2 linked regions of the Neodiprion lecontei genome follow. The protein of the gene in region 1 interacts with the protein of each later gene in a biochemical or structural test. Links are inferred from orthologs where the notes say so. Each region holds a gene or a part of one and is shown on either strand. Other genes may lie near its edges.

The links. The genes of interacting proteins can lie anywhere in the genome.
Region 2: of the proteins of serine/threonine-protein kinase 3 (region 1) and death-associated inhibitor of apoptosis 1, one has a biochemical effect on the other in vitro, tested with the Drosophila melanogaster proteins (2 studies listed by BioGRID). The link is inferred for Neodiprion lecontei from reciprocal best matches to the Drosophila melanogaster genes hpo and Diap1.

Annotation. Positions count from the first base shown.
Region 1 is NC_060261.1:34,662,398-34,670,231, forward strand, and holds serine/threonine-protein kinase 3, read right to left. Parts: upstream 5,362-7,834; 5' UTR 5,347-5,361; coding exon 5,225-5,346; intron 5,023-5,224; coding exon 4,942-5,022; intron 4,833-4,941; coding exon 4,652-4,832; intron 4,577-4,651; coding exon 4,349-4,576; intron 4,212-4,348; coding exon 3,893-4,211; coding exon of another isoform or gene 3,890-3,892; intron 3,651-3,889; coding exon 3,517-3,650; intron 3,427-3,516; coding exon 3,264-3,426; intron 3,197-3,263; coding exon 3,105-3,196; intron 3,014-3,104; coding exon 2,819-3,013; intron 2,628-2,818; coding exon 2,448-2,627; 3' UTR 2,441-2,447; exon of another isoform or gene 2,081-2,440; intron 1,401-2,080; 3' UTR 912-1,400; downstream 1-911. UniProt on the Drosophila melanogaster protein: Plays a key role in the Hippo/SWH (Sav/Wts/Hpo) signaling pathway, a signaling pathway that plays a pivotal role in organ size control and tumor suppression by restricting proliferation and promoting apoptosis.
Region 2 is NC_060266.1:19,436,262-19,444,801, forward strand, and holds the start of death-associated inhibitor of apoptosis 1, read left to right. Parts: upstream 1-1,778; 5' UTR 1,779-2,080; coding exon 2,081-2,304; intron 2,305-3,075; coding exon 3,076-3,188; intron 3,189-3,710; exon of another isoform or gene 3,711-4,840; intron 4,841-4,946; exon of another isoform or gene 4,947-5,550; intron 5,551-5,632; coding exon 5,633-6,546; intron 6,547-6,998; coding exon 6,999-7,358; 3' UTR 7,359-8,540. UniProt on the Drosophila melanogaster protein: Anti-apoptotic protein which functions as a caspase regulator, using its E3 ubiquitin-protein ligase activity to smother caspase activity. Binds, ubiquitinates and inactivates initiator caspase Dronc, and effector caspases Drice and Dcp-1.

The DNA of each region.
Region 1 (7,834 bases):
TAGGAAGCACGTAGAACAGAGAACTGTTTGCCACAAGATATTTTCTGGAATAACGCAATTTTATAATTATTATTTGTAAAAATACGCAAAATGAATAAATTTTTATATTTATACTAAATACGTAAAATTTTACTATCATCTAATGCCTGTTGGTGATACAGCAATGTTAACTTAGGAGGTATTTCTCATTAATTAAATTATAATATTCAATATGAGAGCACATTGGTTTATTCACTTCCATACAAATATGCAAACCTATATTAAATGTAATGCTATAAAAAAAAAAAAAAATTCACAGTCAACGTCATCTGCACTAGATTGACTTAAAAAAAAAGTAATAAATAAATTCTGGAAAAGATTTTGACAAAGGTGGACGTTGTAAAGTAATACAACTTTACAATGGTACACGATTTCTACGTAGGTATAAAAATATACAAGATTATTCTATCCGTGATTATGTGTTCTTAGTGAAAAAAGTACGTGTACTAATGTCAGTTTGACTATATGGTTAACTATATAATACTACATATTTATTATCTAAAAAAATAGTGCAACGTCGTTGATACACTTTATTTTTATAACTCCAATTTGATATTTCATTATTTCAAAATTGATTCGTGCTGCTATACCTGATGATATTTACTTCAATAAGGCAAATATTTAGATATCCCTCCAAACCTGATAGACAAATCAATTGCAAAAAAACTCGAATAAGTCATTTGTAATTAGTATATCGATGAATACTGCCAGTTTATAAATTGAGATACTCGACCTCATTGTCATCATTTGTGACACGAAACTGTTTTCAATCTCACTATAATCCGGAAATTTCCTGCATCACGGACTCAATGATTAAAAGCTTATGCATACTACGGGAGGTGCGAATCTATTGTCTTACCTATCCATACGAAATTAGAAATCTATCCTTCTCCATCTCTACTTATTTGTTGTTTTCTTTTTGTTTTGTTGTTTGTGTTTTTTTTTTTGGCACATCGGTATGTATGGTAGGTAGTGTAAGTGCAGAATCACTCAAACTAAAACTATTAAATGCTAGTTATTGAGTTACGAGATATGTATTGGGTGATATCTGTTTTGTCGATTTAAAAAAAAAACTCACCGCGTACTAAAAGTGCATACTTCTAAAATGAGCTGATCATGGGAAAGTTACGCAACAATATTATTCAAGACAATTCGAAACCCATCCGATACACTTCTCTGCCTTCATAAGGACAAAACTTGGCCAGCAAGATCACCGGGATGTGCAGGTAGCAGAGATCCATTGTTTTACAATGCTTGAAGCGCAATGTCGACACGTTGATATGGGTATACATATGTATGTAAGCATGCTCAGGCGTCGGGCAAGACAGTTTCTCGTGCAAACATTAGCCTGAAGCGTCATACTGCAAATCAAATAAAGGCAAGTTAATGTTGCTAGATTAAAAGATTTTTTTTTAAAACTTCGGTCAGCATTGAATAAGACGTATTTTCACCTGAGTAAAAAATCTAGCTACTCTCGGCGTTGTATTAGATGCATCCCAATAGCAAATCGTATATGTACACAATATTATGTACAAACGGAAAAAACAAAACAACTCACCTCAAACTATATGTTTTTTAGTACGCCGGTACATGTGTTCGTTGAAATAAATAACTTTCAAAGTGTTACCTTTAGCAGTGACCATTTGGTTTGAGGATAAAAAAAATATGTGCCTGAATATCAAAGTAATTCAATCTTTCATATCGTAAAACAGTGCGACAAAGGGTTATTAAGAACAAATAATGTTAATATTTCATCGGTAAATTTTTAAATCACGACACCACTACTATTAAAAAATGTGATATCAGATATGTGCTGGGTAAATAGTAAAATGGTAAAAATGTAATTGCATGTAGTACAATTTTCGGTTTAATATGAATAACAATGATTGAAAAAAACGGATTCACTTGAATCAACCGATGATACTGGACACGATTTATTTTCTAAATTGACTTTATATTTAATTCGTGTATATAATGTTTCTATAAGAATATTGTTTGTATAACAGTAAGTAAAGTTAACATATGTAGTAAAAAAATTAAGTATAGTTGCGATTCCATATTTAATTTGTGTAAAATAATTTACATTGAGTGACGTATCGCTATTACACTAATAATATTATAATAGATTGTAGATCCCTAGATTCACGAAAAAAATATTCATTACTAGAGAAATTTTATTGCAGTTCTTTTTTTTTTAATGAGGTATTAAAAAATAGAATATAATGAATTTTTATTAGTGAAACTAGGTTTTGAGAACGCATAATTATAATCTATTCATTCATTTATACAACTGTACACACTTTTTATCTCTCTATCACGCTCGATTCTATTACTTCGTCTAGCAGAAAACAATTAGGAAACAAAGTTTAAAAAAAATATGTGTATATCAATAAAACTATACCGAAGCGTTAGAAGTTTTGCTGACGCTTTCGCTTGGTATCCATGGCATCAAGAATTGGCTGCCTCTTTGTCTGGTACCTCCGTCTTAATTCATCTATCTCACGTTCCATTTCTGCATCCAGGCTGGCCATGCGTTGCTGCAGCTCCTCGTATGAGAGGAACTTCAGCTGAAGGACATGCTTGTTTATCTATATTGAATTTTCGTTATGATGCCTATGACTGCGTTTTTTAAATACATTTATATTGAAACATGTTTAGTTATAATTTCAATAATGAAGCTGATGGGTCTTCCCATGATCCAAATGTATCTATTGACGTCAATTATGCAGTAGAAAGTTTGTTATTCTTTACAGTGGGAAAAATTTAAGAATATACTTACAAAATCAAAGTCTCGTTCTGTGAAGGCATTTTGAAATTTCGATATGTTATTGTGAGCCGGCTCTTGCACAGGACATGATATTTGATTGAGTTGTAGCTGTAGATGGCTTTGAAACCTTTGAGATTCTGTTGGACTCTGTTGTTCCACTTTAGGTTCTGTTTCTGTACTATGTGCGGCAAGAATGTGGCCATTGTCCTGAGAATAAGAAACAAAATCTCCTTTAAAAGTGCCAATACTCCATAACAAAAACGGAACACTGAGAAAGTTACAATAAATTTGAACTCACATTGCCAATCTCAGTTGCTTCCTTCTTGTCAAAATGATCAAGAAATAAGGGACGATACTTCTTTCCAGACTCCACTGATCCTGTGTTATGCCCTGTAGAAGGTAAATTAACCATTTGAAGACAATGTCTTGCTCCATAAGTCAAAAGCAGTATACCCACTTTTCATCGTTGCTTCTGTGTCCGTGTCACTATTAATAACCATTGTTCCTAGATCCAACATTGCAGAAACTAGAGTGCCTGTGTCAGGGAGATCTACACCTGGTACCAAGGTCCCGACATCTTCTGGAAGGGGTTTCATAGTTCCACTGCAGTCTTCTTCGTCCTTCAGGTGAGAAAATTCAATGAGCAATGTGAAAAAATAATTGACTTTGTAAATTGTTGAGTAGTGAATCGAGATGGAAGTATTTTTTACCGAATCATCAGCATGATTTTTTCCCTTAATAGCCACATTATTAATAACGTGTGCTCGGTTGGTCTGTTTTTCTCTAATTTCATGTGCCTCCGCTATCATTTGACTAAGGATACTTGGCTGCTTCGCATTGCCTTCAACAGTTCAATAGTGAAATTGATATAAGTAAAAGAAAACCTGAGTTTTGTTAACAAGTATATCAAAGATATTTATTGTCATTGGTATTAAATTTGAATTTGTTTGTTTTTGATATGTAAAACTCATACTATAAAAAAATGTCAAGGCAGTCCTGAGTTACATGTATCGTGATTCGGGTTGTTTCATTAATTACTGACTTGAGACTTAATTCAATTACTTGCATGAAACACAGTACGACTACCTATAAATTCATGACTGAGCAGTTCAGTGGCTGTCGCCCTTTCTTCAGGGTTTTTGACGAGACAGCCACTAACGAATTCTATGAACTCTGCACTCCATTTGTCAGGTTCTCTAAAACTTGGTGGGGGTTTGGTGGGGATCATGAAAATTGCACGCATTGGATGAATGTCACCATATGGTGGCTTTCCTTCTGCCATTTCTAGAGCTGTTATACCCAATGACCATATATCCGCGACGCAATCGTATCCAATCTCCTGAATTACCTCCGGTGCCATCCAGAACGGAGTTCCGATAACAGTGTTGCGCTTAGCCATAGTATCCTATAAACAAGTGGGCCAACATTTTTTTAAAATTCGCAACACTGATTGTAAGTAAATGTGGATGAATTTTTTTTTTTTCTTTGCTTTCCGTCTAATTAGGTGTCAAATTTTTCTGTTTCTTTGTTAATTTGTTTCACCGTTAACTGTCCAGCTACACCAAAATCAGCCAGCTTAGCATGCCCCTCAGTATTGAGTAAGATGTTTCCGGCTTTGATGTCCCTGTGGATTTTCCTCCTAAGATGGAGGTATTCAAGACCCTTAAGAGTATCACATAATATCGTAGCTATCTCATCCTCTTGCAGGGTTTTCTTCCTCAGCCTCATTATATCACTGACAGAACCGGCGCCACAATACTCCATAACAATCTGTAATAACAAATCATTTCACTATCATTGTTCGAACCGATAACATTCACGTAACTCACGAAATTCAATTCATACCCATAAATCCGTGTTCTTGAAGTAACTTCCATAGTATTTCACTACATACGGTGAATCGCATTGCTGCATTATTGAAATCTCCTTTATTATCTCCTGTAAATCCGTATCCACAGGTACTTGCTTGATCGCAAGCACCTGCCCGCTCTCTTTGTGCAATGCTTTATAAACGGAACCATAAGATCTGAAACAAACATTGAGCCATATCTTAAAAGACATCCAAATTATACTAAATTAGTATGGCACACTAATAATTAGATTACTAAGTAGAATTCTCTCAAAGTAACGCTCACCCTTCACCAAGCTTGCAGATTATGTCAAAAACCTCTTCGGGTTGTCGTGTCAAGCTTTCCTCGGATAACTTTTTCAACTCACTGTAAAGGTAGAAGGAATTTTTTAGCGTCTGTTCAAAATTTTAATCTCTCTGATTGTAAGATGGCTTTGTCATATTGTTTCTAAAAATAAAGTAATCCAATGTCATGTTTGACAGACATAGAGGTTGGACTTAAATCAAAGGTGGTTCATTAGAGATTGGAATGACGTATTGTAAATATTTGACAAGATTTGCGTACATACTATCTGTTTGCAAAACCTGAGAAGTAAAATAAAGATTGACCCAAAGGCAAGTTTGGAGTGGGAATATATTTTTCCGTTAGTTCATTCCTTGAGAGAATGGACCTTGGAGTCAGACTAGACATGTATGAAATTCATTAATGCAACTTAATCGGTTGAAGAACATAACAAATATATTGTGAACGGAGTAAGCAATGAAGAGTAGTTTACAGTGACAAAGGTTAACAAAGAAAGAAAACAATTTTAGGTTTTCGATAGTACTGTTATTGCTAATTTGTAAATATGTAATTTTCGAGTGAAATGGAGATTGTTTGGAATAATTTACAGCTTAACTGTCTTTCTAATTATTGTTTTGAATCGTCGGCATCATTTCGAAAATTGGAACTATTTTGACGCATACATATAAGGGTAGGATTCATTCGGGTCCAGATAAAAAAAAGGAAAACAATTAAATAAATATACATATATACCTTTTAGAAGACATCTTCGTTTTTACGTCAGTCTAATATTAACTTGGATAAAAAAAAAAGAACACACATTCACTACGCAAATAACGAACTAATACGTCAAAAATACACTATACGTTGATAATAAAATCATATTCAATTCAAATAACTAATATTACATTTTTTGACAATAAAATTAATTTTAACCACAACTGAAATATCGAAACCCTTGATCAAGACGTCCATAGACTTTCAACTCTTATTTGTCTGTAACCGAAGCAAATATATATTTATTGACTAGCTGTATAGTTAGACTGCCTTAGTTCATTATAACTCCGACTGATGTCAGAGTGAGGGGCCGAATAATTACTTCAGTCAAAGTTTCAAACGTTTCAAGCGTTTCAATCGAGCATTTTACAGTCGAAAGGTCTTTACAACTCATTATCTTTAATCACAGCTACCGTATGAAGGAAAATTAATCAATTATGAAACACATTAATCATCGATATTCTTGCAAGTAACAATCGGAGACTTTTTATCTGTGCCTAAATAAGAGTGGCTTTTCACACGGTATTATTCTCATCCTGAATAACGGTACAGAGGATAGCCTACGAGGGAAGAGAAAGAAGAAAAACAGAATTACGATGCCAATTAAGACCGATGTTACCGTGATGCAAAAATCGGTTACGTCTGATCATATTCTATTTCTCCCTAGATGCCCTGTTCGATTTCAACGTTCACGGATATATCTCCAAATATCAAAGGCCACGTATCTCGAAAACGAAAAAATACTTAATAGCCTTATTTTATACACAGTTCTGAACAAAAACAGTCCTAGACATTTTTCATTTGACGCAGAAATAAAGAAATGGCCCAGATTCTACGAAATCGAACAGTCAAATCGTAGAATTCATACCATATATTTCTTTATTTCTGCATCAAATGAAAATGTATTGGAGTGTTTTTGTTCGAAATAGCGTACAAAATAGGGCTGTTAATCCTTCGTTCGTGTGTGAGATAGGTGGACTTTGATATTTAGATCAGAACCTATGTTCAACTCGTCAGCTTTCGAACATTGTAATTGTTGCAAACAAGCGTTCGATTATCTCTCTTCCAAATCATGGATTTTCGAAACTCCCGCGTCTACGAGTCCGAAGTGAGCGGTGTATCGTTTAACGGGCAGGCTAGCAGGCGAGCACGTAAGCCTCTCGTCGGAAATCCAAACTACTCTCGGCGAGCCAGCCGTGATCAGTGTGCGTGCGGTGCTCGTAGAGTATGGCGGTAGGGTTTAGAGGAGGTAGCGTTGTCGGGGCGATCGCGATCCATCGTATGTGCCGCGTAGGAATTAGTGACCTGCAGCAGGAGGGTTGTAACAAGCAAGTGTGTATTCCCTGAATGATAAAACGGGGACCGTTCCTAGCGTTGTGCGGTTGACAAAGAAAAGTTGAATCGTGAAGTAAGCGGTTCAATCGGACTACAGTTGTATCAAGACATCTGAACGATGTTCACAGTTCCGCTGGATCGATAACAACAATGGAATTACTTGTTATCGCGTAAGAAAGAGAATGTGCGTGCGCGCGCTGCCGCTGCTCCTGGTGCTGCTGCTGCTACCCATCGTCGTCGATTCCTCCGCGGTCACCACACTACAATCACGCTAGCAACGCCGCTACCTCCACCTCCTCACCAACACGACGATAGATCCTTATGTACCTACCCACCTACGTACGTACATATATTCCCCTCCACCTAAAATCTTGAAGAAAAAGCAACAGGCCAGGCCAGGCCACACGCCTTGCCTGGGCACGGCGTTTCAGCGACGCGGCGCATAGTTAAGATCCAGACTGGTGTCTGTCTCTTCTTGTGCGCGGCACTGTGTCTTGATCGGTCGGACAGTCGGTCGGTCGGTCGGTCGGTCCTCCGGTCGGAGACGGTCGTCTCTTGTTTTGCCCCTCTTCCTCCGCCTAGCCTCTTTATGCGTAGCAGTAGTATTAGTAATAGACGTAGTTTAATTATTCACCGGTGTATCAACAGATCTAGTGCATCGTTCCTCGTCTCCCTCGGAGTTCGTCCTGATTTAAACAACTATCGCAAAGTATCGCCGCTGTCGAGGAACCAGGGAGAGCGAGCTGAAGTGTCGGGTGTTTATCGAAGTGCCTTTTTAAAACAC
Region 2 (8,540 bases), on another chromosome or scaffold:
AAACTCTCAAATCCAATCTTCAGAACGATTTTATTCTTAATATTTTTTATACTTGAAAGCTCTTGATGTCCAGCCTACTGCAAAAATTTATTAGTGATTCCATTTCAATTTCACTAAAAGTTCAACGGTAGCTAAACTATAAAGCAGGAAAATTGAGGGAAATTGATTAAAAAATTTACTGAGATAATAAGCATTATTATTTATATTTGCAGCGGATCTTTGTTTCTCGTGCTGCTGTTTAGCGGATCGTGGTTTAAAATTGTTCGAATTTCAAATTCTGCCGTAACGACCAACATCAATTCTCCCGCGACTCACGTGGTAAGGTGTCAACTTTTTGATCGATAGCCTAAAATCTATCATAATTGTGTGATAATTAGCTCCGAAAATATGAAATAATGATTAAAAATTGAAGAATCTCGTAGGACCGATGAGAAAATCGACCAAAGTTTAGACATTTAGGTATATCCAAAAAATACATGCTTTCAGTGTGCACGCGGCGTTGATTAAAGGCAGGCGCGTAGTTAGGTGATCCAGAGATTAGCGCCGGGCGATAGGTGCGCTTTATTATTAAAATTGTAAATTGATAACGAGGTGATTACAACAGGATTACATAAAAAGCAGGGCGTACGTGAGAACTTTCATGCTCACAATATTAACGGATATTTTGAGACGCAACCACTGTTCACGTGTTCATATCTCGGTTAAGTATCAGGGTGTGGCGCCTTCCACATCCGTTCCTATCGCTGTCGAGCATACCATATTTTTAATTTAATATATAAAGCTCAGGAAAATATGATTATTAACAAGACAAGATGATCTGTTTTTTCTTCATTTGATAACCGCACTGACGGCCGTTGTGGGGACGGAAATTACGCGATATTCTTACACGGCGTCATTTTTGAATGATGAATACATCGACATACCTCGAAGTATAATTCGAGCGCCAAAAAAGACGGGAGGGGCCCAAGGACAATGAATATAAAGACATCGCTTGAAATGAGCTGATGACGGTCGATTCTAAGAAATTGTGATACGCAATATATTGCCGCTTCGTTCATTTATATTTATTTTCGCAATTTCCGCCTTTAATCGCTTTACTCGCGAAAATATAATAATATCCTTCAATATATTGCATAAAAGACACCTGATGCCCCTTGGATCGTTTCCACGTCATTTATAAATGATTTTTCATCTATTACGATTATATTGCGTCTATTATACAAAGCGAATAATTAATCCTTCTGTAGCTTACATATATCTATCTATGTGTTGCTGACGTAGTTGATATTAAGTGTGATTGTATAATCGTAGAGCCAGGCACGGAGTGCACGGACGCATGTCATTTGTTTTTTCCGATATTTTTTTGAAAACGGTTTATTGCAAGAAACATTAAGGAAGACAAATAAACAGTGGATCAACTGTTTTGAGAAATGTAAAATATAATTTGATTTGTAAAAATATAATGTTCAAAATTCACAAAGAATTGCAGATAGGTAAGTCATCATTTTACTGCGGATTTTTTCCAGTACATAATATTGTAGATAAAAATGCTACCGCAGTGCGATAACGAATATTGGAATTTGTGCAAGATTATACAGCTGATTGTGAGTGAATGACCCCGAAATATATTATATATTTTCTATGCATACAATGACGAACGAATAACGAGGAATTTACCGGATGTACAATATCTGACCACATATCTTCGTAAATAAAGCTGATATTTTCGCTAATCGTATTACTCATTCGCATTCATTTTCATTATCTAAGTCCTACAGCCGCAGACCTGGTTCATCTGTTAATGCGCAAGGTCTTGTACCTACTAATTATCACATGCAAAGTAGTTTAAATAAGACTGTGATTTTTCGAATGAAATGATAATACTAAGAATAGCGTCAAATAAACACGCCTTATATTGGGCTTGTGTGAAATAGTACATGGAAAATACAACCGATCATATTTCAATGTCGTATTATTCGAATGATTCAAAGTAGAACAGTCGATACTCGCAGAAATTGAGCACAGGAGAAAATCGATTTTTAGGGCTATTTGTGCTGGTCCAGAAGGGTCGAACGATCGCATGCTCCGACTTATAACCGATACGAGAACTTTGCGGTCCGTCTTATCGATCCCAGTCGACGTCGGTAAAACAGAACTAAAAGCGATCGAGCACACGGAAATATTTACTCAAAAACCTTCCCGCGTGAATGTTCGTGCTGTGTTACAAGTCCACGATTTCCTCAGTGACTCGTTGAACTGCAGCATAGTGAAACGATCGCGTTCGTTGCTCGTGTTCGCCTCACGGTAAGCTTGCATGGCCTATAATACTATTTTAAAATCGCGGTTATAAAATTATTATATCCGCCGGAAGTTGAGTGATCATAACGCGCCGCCAGCTGGGTGTGTCATACAAATATTCGCTATACTCGGCAAAAAAAAACTTATCGCGTTCCACGATGTTAAAATTACCAGTTTGAACAGCCTTTGTGTTAAATACCAAAAGACTCGGTATATATATAATCTCCAGTCAATTAAACAAACTTCGAGCCGTGACCGATAGATTCGCAGAAACGTCAAGATAATCAAACCAAAAATATTATTTTCTTGAGAACAGTCTACAGCTTATATCGATGACACTTCACACCTTATCGTCGATACGTCGATAATCGCTTTGTCCGCATACAAAATCACCCGTCGAAATATCGAACGAAATCAGAAATTACGTCGAAACGACAGATGGTGTAGTTTCGTTCTCAATCTTTCGCGATAGTGGTTACGCTATCTGCTATCCATTCGTTAGTTAACGATTTTTCGACGCTCGAACATGCACCCGCCATTTCAAAATTCAATGAAGCTCGAGGGCGGGCAGGAAGGGAGGGGGAAAGGAATTCCTCTTTTTTTTTCCTCGAACTGAGACCCTTTCCGTTGGGCTTCCCAGCACCCGTCAATGGGGCCTTTGTACCTACGCTCGACTCCGTTCGTGCGTTTGTACCTCGTGTATGAGAGCGTGTGACTCGACGTCACGTCGCGGTGAATGTAAATAACTTAGCCTGGCTCATATCATTATTGTTATAGACAAGGCAGGCAGCTGTACACGCACACACAAACACAGCTATACCGTTGGTTGCACACATTGTCGAGGCTTCACGAGATTCTGAATAATCGCCCACGTCATCGAAATTCTGCCGGTTGGTGATATGCGTAATGAAATCATGCATTCTGCCATATCGTTTCTTTTCATTCCTTTGCAATCATTTCCTGATTGTTGTTATATCGTTTCATGTACTACCGGTAACTAATGAACGTCAGCGTGCATCAATCGGTCGTCTATATACCCTTGTAAATACATACCTACCGTATGCCTTACATGCATGCAACATTCATCCTCGGCATGATCTCGTCTCACAGAAAGAAATCCCGGGCCGTGGTATGTGGAGATATAACATTTTCTACACACACAACGCTTTCACATCCTGTTGGTAGGGGAATGATACGTCGGGATAGGTTTGTGACTACAGAGCTCAAGAACTCTGTAATCTGCTTCGCAACCGACTGAAATTATCGTCGTTGTAATTTTTCGAAATAATTATCCTGGAAATTGTATCATGCTGTTAAACGTAGAAGTGAAATCGGTTTTCCTCAACTCCGACTCACCAGATATACCACAAAAATTATAAATAAGGAAATAAAATATATAAATGTATATTTTCCATATTTTTTCTCTATTACCAACGTTCTCGTAGATATTTCGAAACAAGAAAAAGTCGAGTCTTTCATAATCACTGAACATTAATCGTATATTTTATTTAACCGAGATGTAAAACACCAGCGTAGTTGGAAGGACAGTGTCAAATTTAATCGGCACCGTGACTGTAAAGGTCACCTTTTTTTCTCCGAACTCATTTTATCCAACATTATTTATATCTAGAGTCGAGGTAATCGCTATATACGGATCAACAAATGCGCGTAAACTTGATTCCGTTCTGCGTGGGATTCCGTAATGAAAAGAAAAGAAAAAAAAAGACAGAGAAAAAAATAAGCCGTATTTGCTGAACATTAGCAAAATACCACAATGCTGGGTTAAAAACCCCATATAAGTATATTCCCAACAACTATTATATCCATACATAGTAGGTATACGTTTGTAGTAGTTCTACGAATTGAGAACGGAATACAGCGGATAACACAGGCGTATAGGTCACATACTATACGGTAAAAATCTATGATAAATCGAGTGATTTTGTCGGAAATTTTATTACTTGTCCGGTTCTTCTGCAAAATATGTAACGTTTTTACTAACAACGGTGAGTAAAACATCTACAGAGTATGCGATAAAAATTGTTGTATAAATAGAGAGAGAGAGAGAGAGGTGAGAGAGAAAAGGTCTTGATATGGTTGATAGGACGCATCCTGACTACCCACGGACGAACTCGAGAGTTTGGCAACGTTGCCGGATCGAAAACTTTCTGTCTTGTTAGGCTTCGCGCGTGTGTGCGCCTATATACGTACAAGCCCGCCGCTACGCGCCGTACGCTCGCCCAGGCGCCTCACGACCGCTGCACAACCTAGAGTACGAGAACGAGACGCCAGGCAAATTCAGGCGGTAGTTTCACACAACCGTACCACTCGATCCCGCTCTCTCTCCGCTTTGTAAGGCCTGCGCGAAGCGCGATCGTCATAGCCGCATACCCGACATGGAAGTACCCGAGTCCTCGCGCGTTCTGCGGTTTTAAAACATTGATAAATTCATTGTAAATTCACCTCGGTCATCGATCATTCTACGTACGTATTTATCGTGCCCGATGACGTCTCTGGAACAATAACAAATTTCAAAATTACCGTAAGTTTATTGTTTCTTTCCCTCGCCGCTAGACAACCTATTTACTTTTTATTTTCTTTTTATTTTTATTGTTATTATCATTATTATATCTTTTCTTACAACACCTTATAATTGCGAGATCGCGGTAAGTGTATTGACAAAGGTAAAAGTTGGCCGTGTCCGCCCATTCAAGCTCTTCCCCCATCCCCACCCCCCCGATCCCCTCCTCAACCCTTCTTTACCACTATTACGATCCCTTCCAGCGCCTCTTTGCGTAAAAATTAGTCGTACATCATTTTTGCCCCGGATGCGGACGTATGTTTTGTACATGCATACATGTTATTGTCGTTTAATTTTTATCCAAGTACCGGAAACTAAAGAAAGGTCACACAAAGTACGTTTTTGATTCCTGGGGTTCGCTTTATTGTAGAAAGAAGCAGCTGCGGCGATTTATTCAAAAGCGATGATACGGACTGTGTCGGCCTGTGCTAATTTAACGACAAAGAAAAACCGTTGATGCAGATTCGGACTTCTAAAACTCAGACTGAAAGCAAGCAAGAGTCTTTTTTGCTCATTTTCAATCCGTTAAAATTTCAATTGAATATTTTTTTTTTTCTCCTACTTAACACCAATTACTGCAAGTCCAAAACGTTGTTAGAACAAACAAAGATGATATACTAGAATCAAAAGAGGAATGACATAAGCACACAATGAGTAATACACAGAGAAAGGTGGGGATTCGAGTAGACAGAGATGCGAATGCACCGCTTGAGCAATAATAATAATATTAGTTTTCTTCTTGTTTGTCTTCAGATTCAGGTAAGCACCACAAAGATTGTCTTCAACACATTCTTTGCACATTTAACTGCCTTCAAATGACTGATTGCTGTCAGTCTCGTTATGGTGGGTACTCGGCGATGAACACGCCCGGGTTCAGAGACTCGCGGCGTTGCTGTCAACCACCCCTGCCGCCGTTACGTTGTGAACCTCCCGATGAAACAGACGATCGTAATGATTTCCGGTTTGAATCTGCGCGTAGAAGAAGCTTCGCAAATTGGCCGGTCAGGTTCATGGATCCGAAGAGATTGGCGGAGGCCGGGTTTTACTATCTCAACGAAGGTGATAAAGTAAGGTGTTTCGAATGTAAAATTGAAATTTGCAAGTGGGTCGAGGGTGACGATCCTCAATTCGAACACCAGAGATGGTCCGAAAGATGCAGATTTGTCAGGAGATTACCGTGCGGTAATGTACCTTACGGCACTGACGGTGCAAACATTTTTTCTGCTCCTCGAACCACAGACGTCTGTGGCCCCTATGGATTCAATGTTGAGTCGGAACTTGGACCCAACCTCAGCTCATCCCCACCGAACCTTCAGCATACCGTAAGCACTGCAACCCTTGGGAGCTGGGGGATCGGTATGCCCAAGGAGCCCAAACATCCACAATATGTCAGCCGCGACGCAAGGCTAAGGACCTTCAACTTTTGGCCAAAATCTATGAGACAGACGAAAGAGGAATTGGCTGATGCAGGATTTTTCTACACTGGCAAAGGAGATCAGACACTCTGCTACTACTGTGGTGGCGGTCTTAAAGATTGGGAGCCAACTGACAATGCATGGGAACAACACGCCCACTGGTTTTCCAAGTGCTTTTATCTATTCATGGTAAAAGGACAAGCCTTCATTGACCAAGTCAAAGGTCTCACCAGGGAACAGCCTTCAGCCGAGGTGAATATTATAACTTGCACCTTCTGCTGTCAAATAAAAAATATTTTTATGCCGAGGGTCATTAAATCAATCACTTTTGGAGAAAAAGCGTGTATCACTATTTGCCATTTCGTGATTTTGTAATTTTCTTTTCACTGTTATAAAACATTTCACTTACATTGCACCACTTTGTAAGATTGTGAAAGCATCGTTGGAGCGGGAAAAACTAATATCCAGGGTGTTTGTAGAAGTTAAAAGTTTGAAATACAAAGTGCCTGTTAAAGTTGGAGTTCAGTAAGAATGTACGTTTCCTTTCACAAAGTGCACAGAAGAGAATATTCATTGTAGTGGGTCTAAATATTTTAGACTTATTTATCTCATGTGAGTTCTTGAATACTTTTTTCAAAAGAAAATGATAGCCGGACGCAAACTTGAAAGCCTATTGTTTATCAAGTAATTCATTCTGCTTCCAGGAAGCGCAGAACTTGACTCTACCAAACTGCATAAAGAAGGTGGAGAGGCCTATAGAAGCTGAGCCTGAAGAACATTGTCCAATTGCTGAGACTGGCGAATCTGGAGAAAGTTGTAGTAAAAGTGGTTCATTAGAGTTGGGACCACATAAAAGCGAGGGTTCTATGCATCACAACCTGGAGAACGATGAAAAGAGAGCGGATGACGGAAGGCTTTGCAAAATTTGCTACACGGAAGAACTGGGAGTTGTATTTTTACCTTGTGGGCACATGGTAGCCTGTGTCAAGTGCGCGCCAAGTTTGACAACTTGTGCAGTATGCCGGAAACCTTTCACAATGACTGTGCGGGCTTACATTTCATAGCTTTTCATCATAAAATAAACTATAAATTCAACAAAATGCCAGAATAATGTCTAGCATTACTATACCTTTCGCCAAGACATGACTCTTGGCATATCAATGAAGTGAAGGCACAGTTCATCAAAGTTCAAAGACATTTTGTGATTTATTTTCTTTAGTTGCCAGCTGTTCTTATTGTCAATCAAGATCCTGAGAGCTGGAAGTTCGGATTGATCAGTCTTGCTTTAAAACATTAGACGCGTCATCTTTTATGTTTCTTTTCTTTTAGTTTTTTTTATTCCGTTCAAAACAATATTTTTTTTTCTCTGTGTCCCGAATTCGTTTTTCTTTTTCTCTGAAAATTTGATGAAGTTTATATATTTTGTATCTGAAGAAAAAGAAGAAAAAATTCGTAATCTTCAGCATATTCGGTACATTGTTTGTGATTGAGATACATTTCGTATCAAATATGTAATTGTGCCTCCGGCGAAAAATTACGACTGCTTGTGAAAACACTAACATGTTAACAAAATCAGTAACAATATCATTCTCGCTATACCTTTATACTAACCGATCCTTGATGTAATGTTCATGGCTTATATTCATACTGCACATAACACTATTTCGGTAATGAGATTTCTGTAGCAATTATATGTGATTCGGAAAACAAAGGCAATTGGACAAAGTAACATGAACAACATTATGTTTATTTTATTTATTTTTTTCAAAAAAATGTGTTTTCACTTTAAATGGGGAAAAATAGCAACTTGACTCTTGACTATGTACATATTCAAAGCACAATGATCTCATGAGAAATTGTGATTGGTAATTACTTACCACCCGGAATATTATTTTGGTTTAGAATTTTTTTTTTTTATTTAACGTAGTGATACAAAAACATAGGAGAGAGAATTAAATTTTCAAAAGCATTCACACTCACCTGTATATTACCAACTGGCATTTGCGGTATCATTCTAGTAAGCACTTAGTGCAAAATAAACAAGATCAAACTGTACACGTTGAACCAACTGTACAGTAAATAAATTATTAACTTTTGATCTACCTTAATAATTAAGCATTTAAGCAATTATTTAATTGATGATTTTTTTATTTATTTTTTTTTTTTTTTTTGCTGCTTCAATAATTTAAGGCTTTTATTCGCGGGAGTTGGATCCATGTTCCAAGGGACACCGAAAAAGGAATATA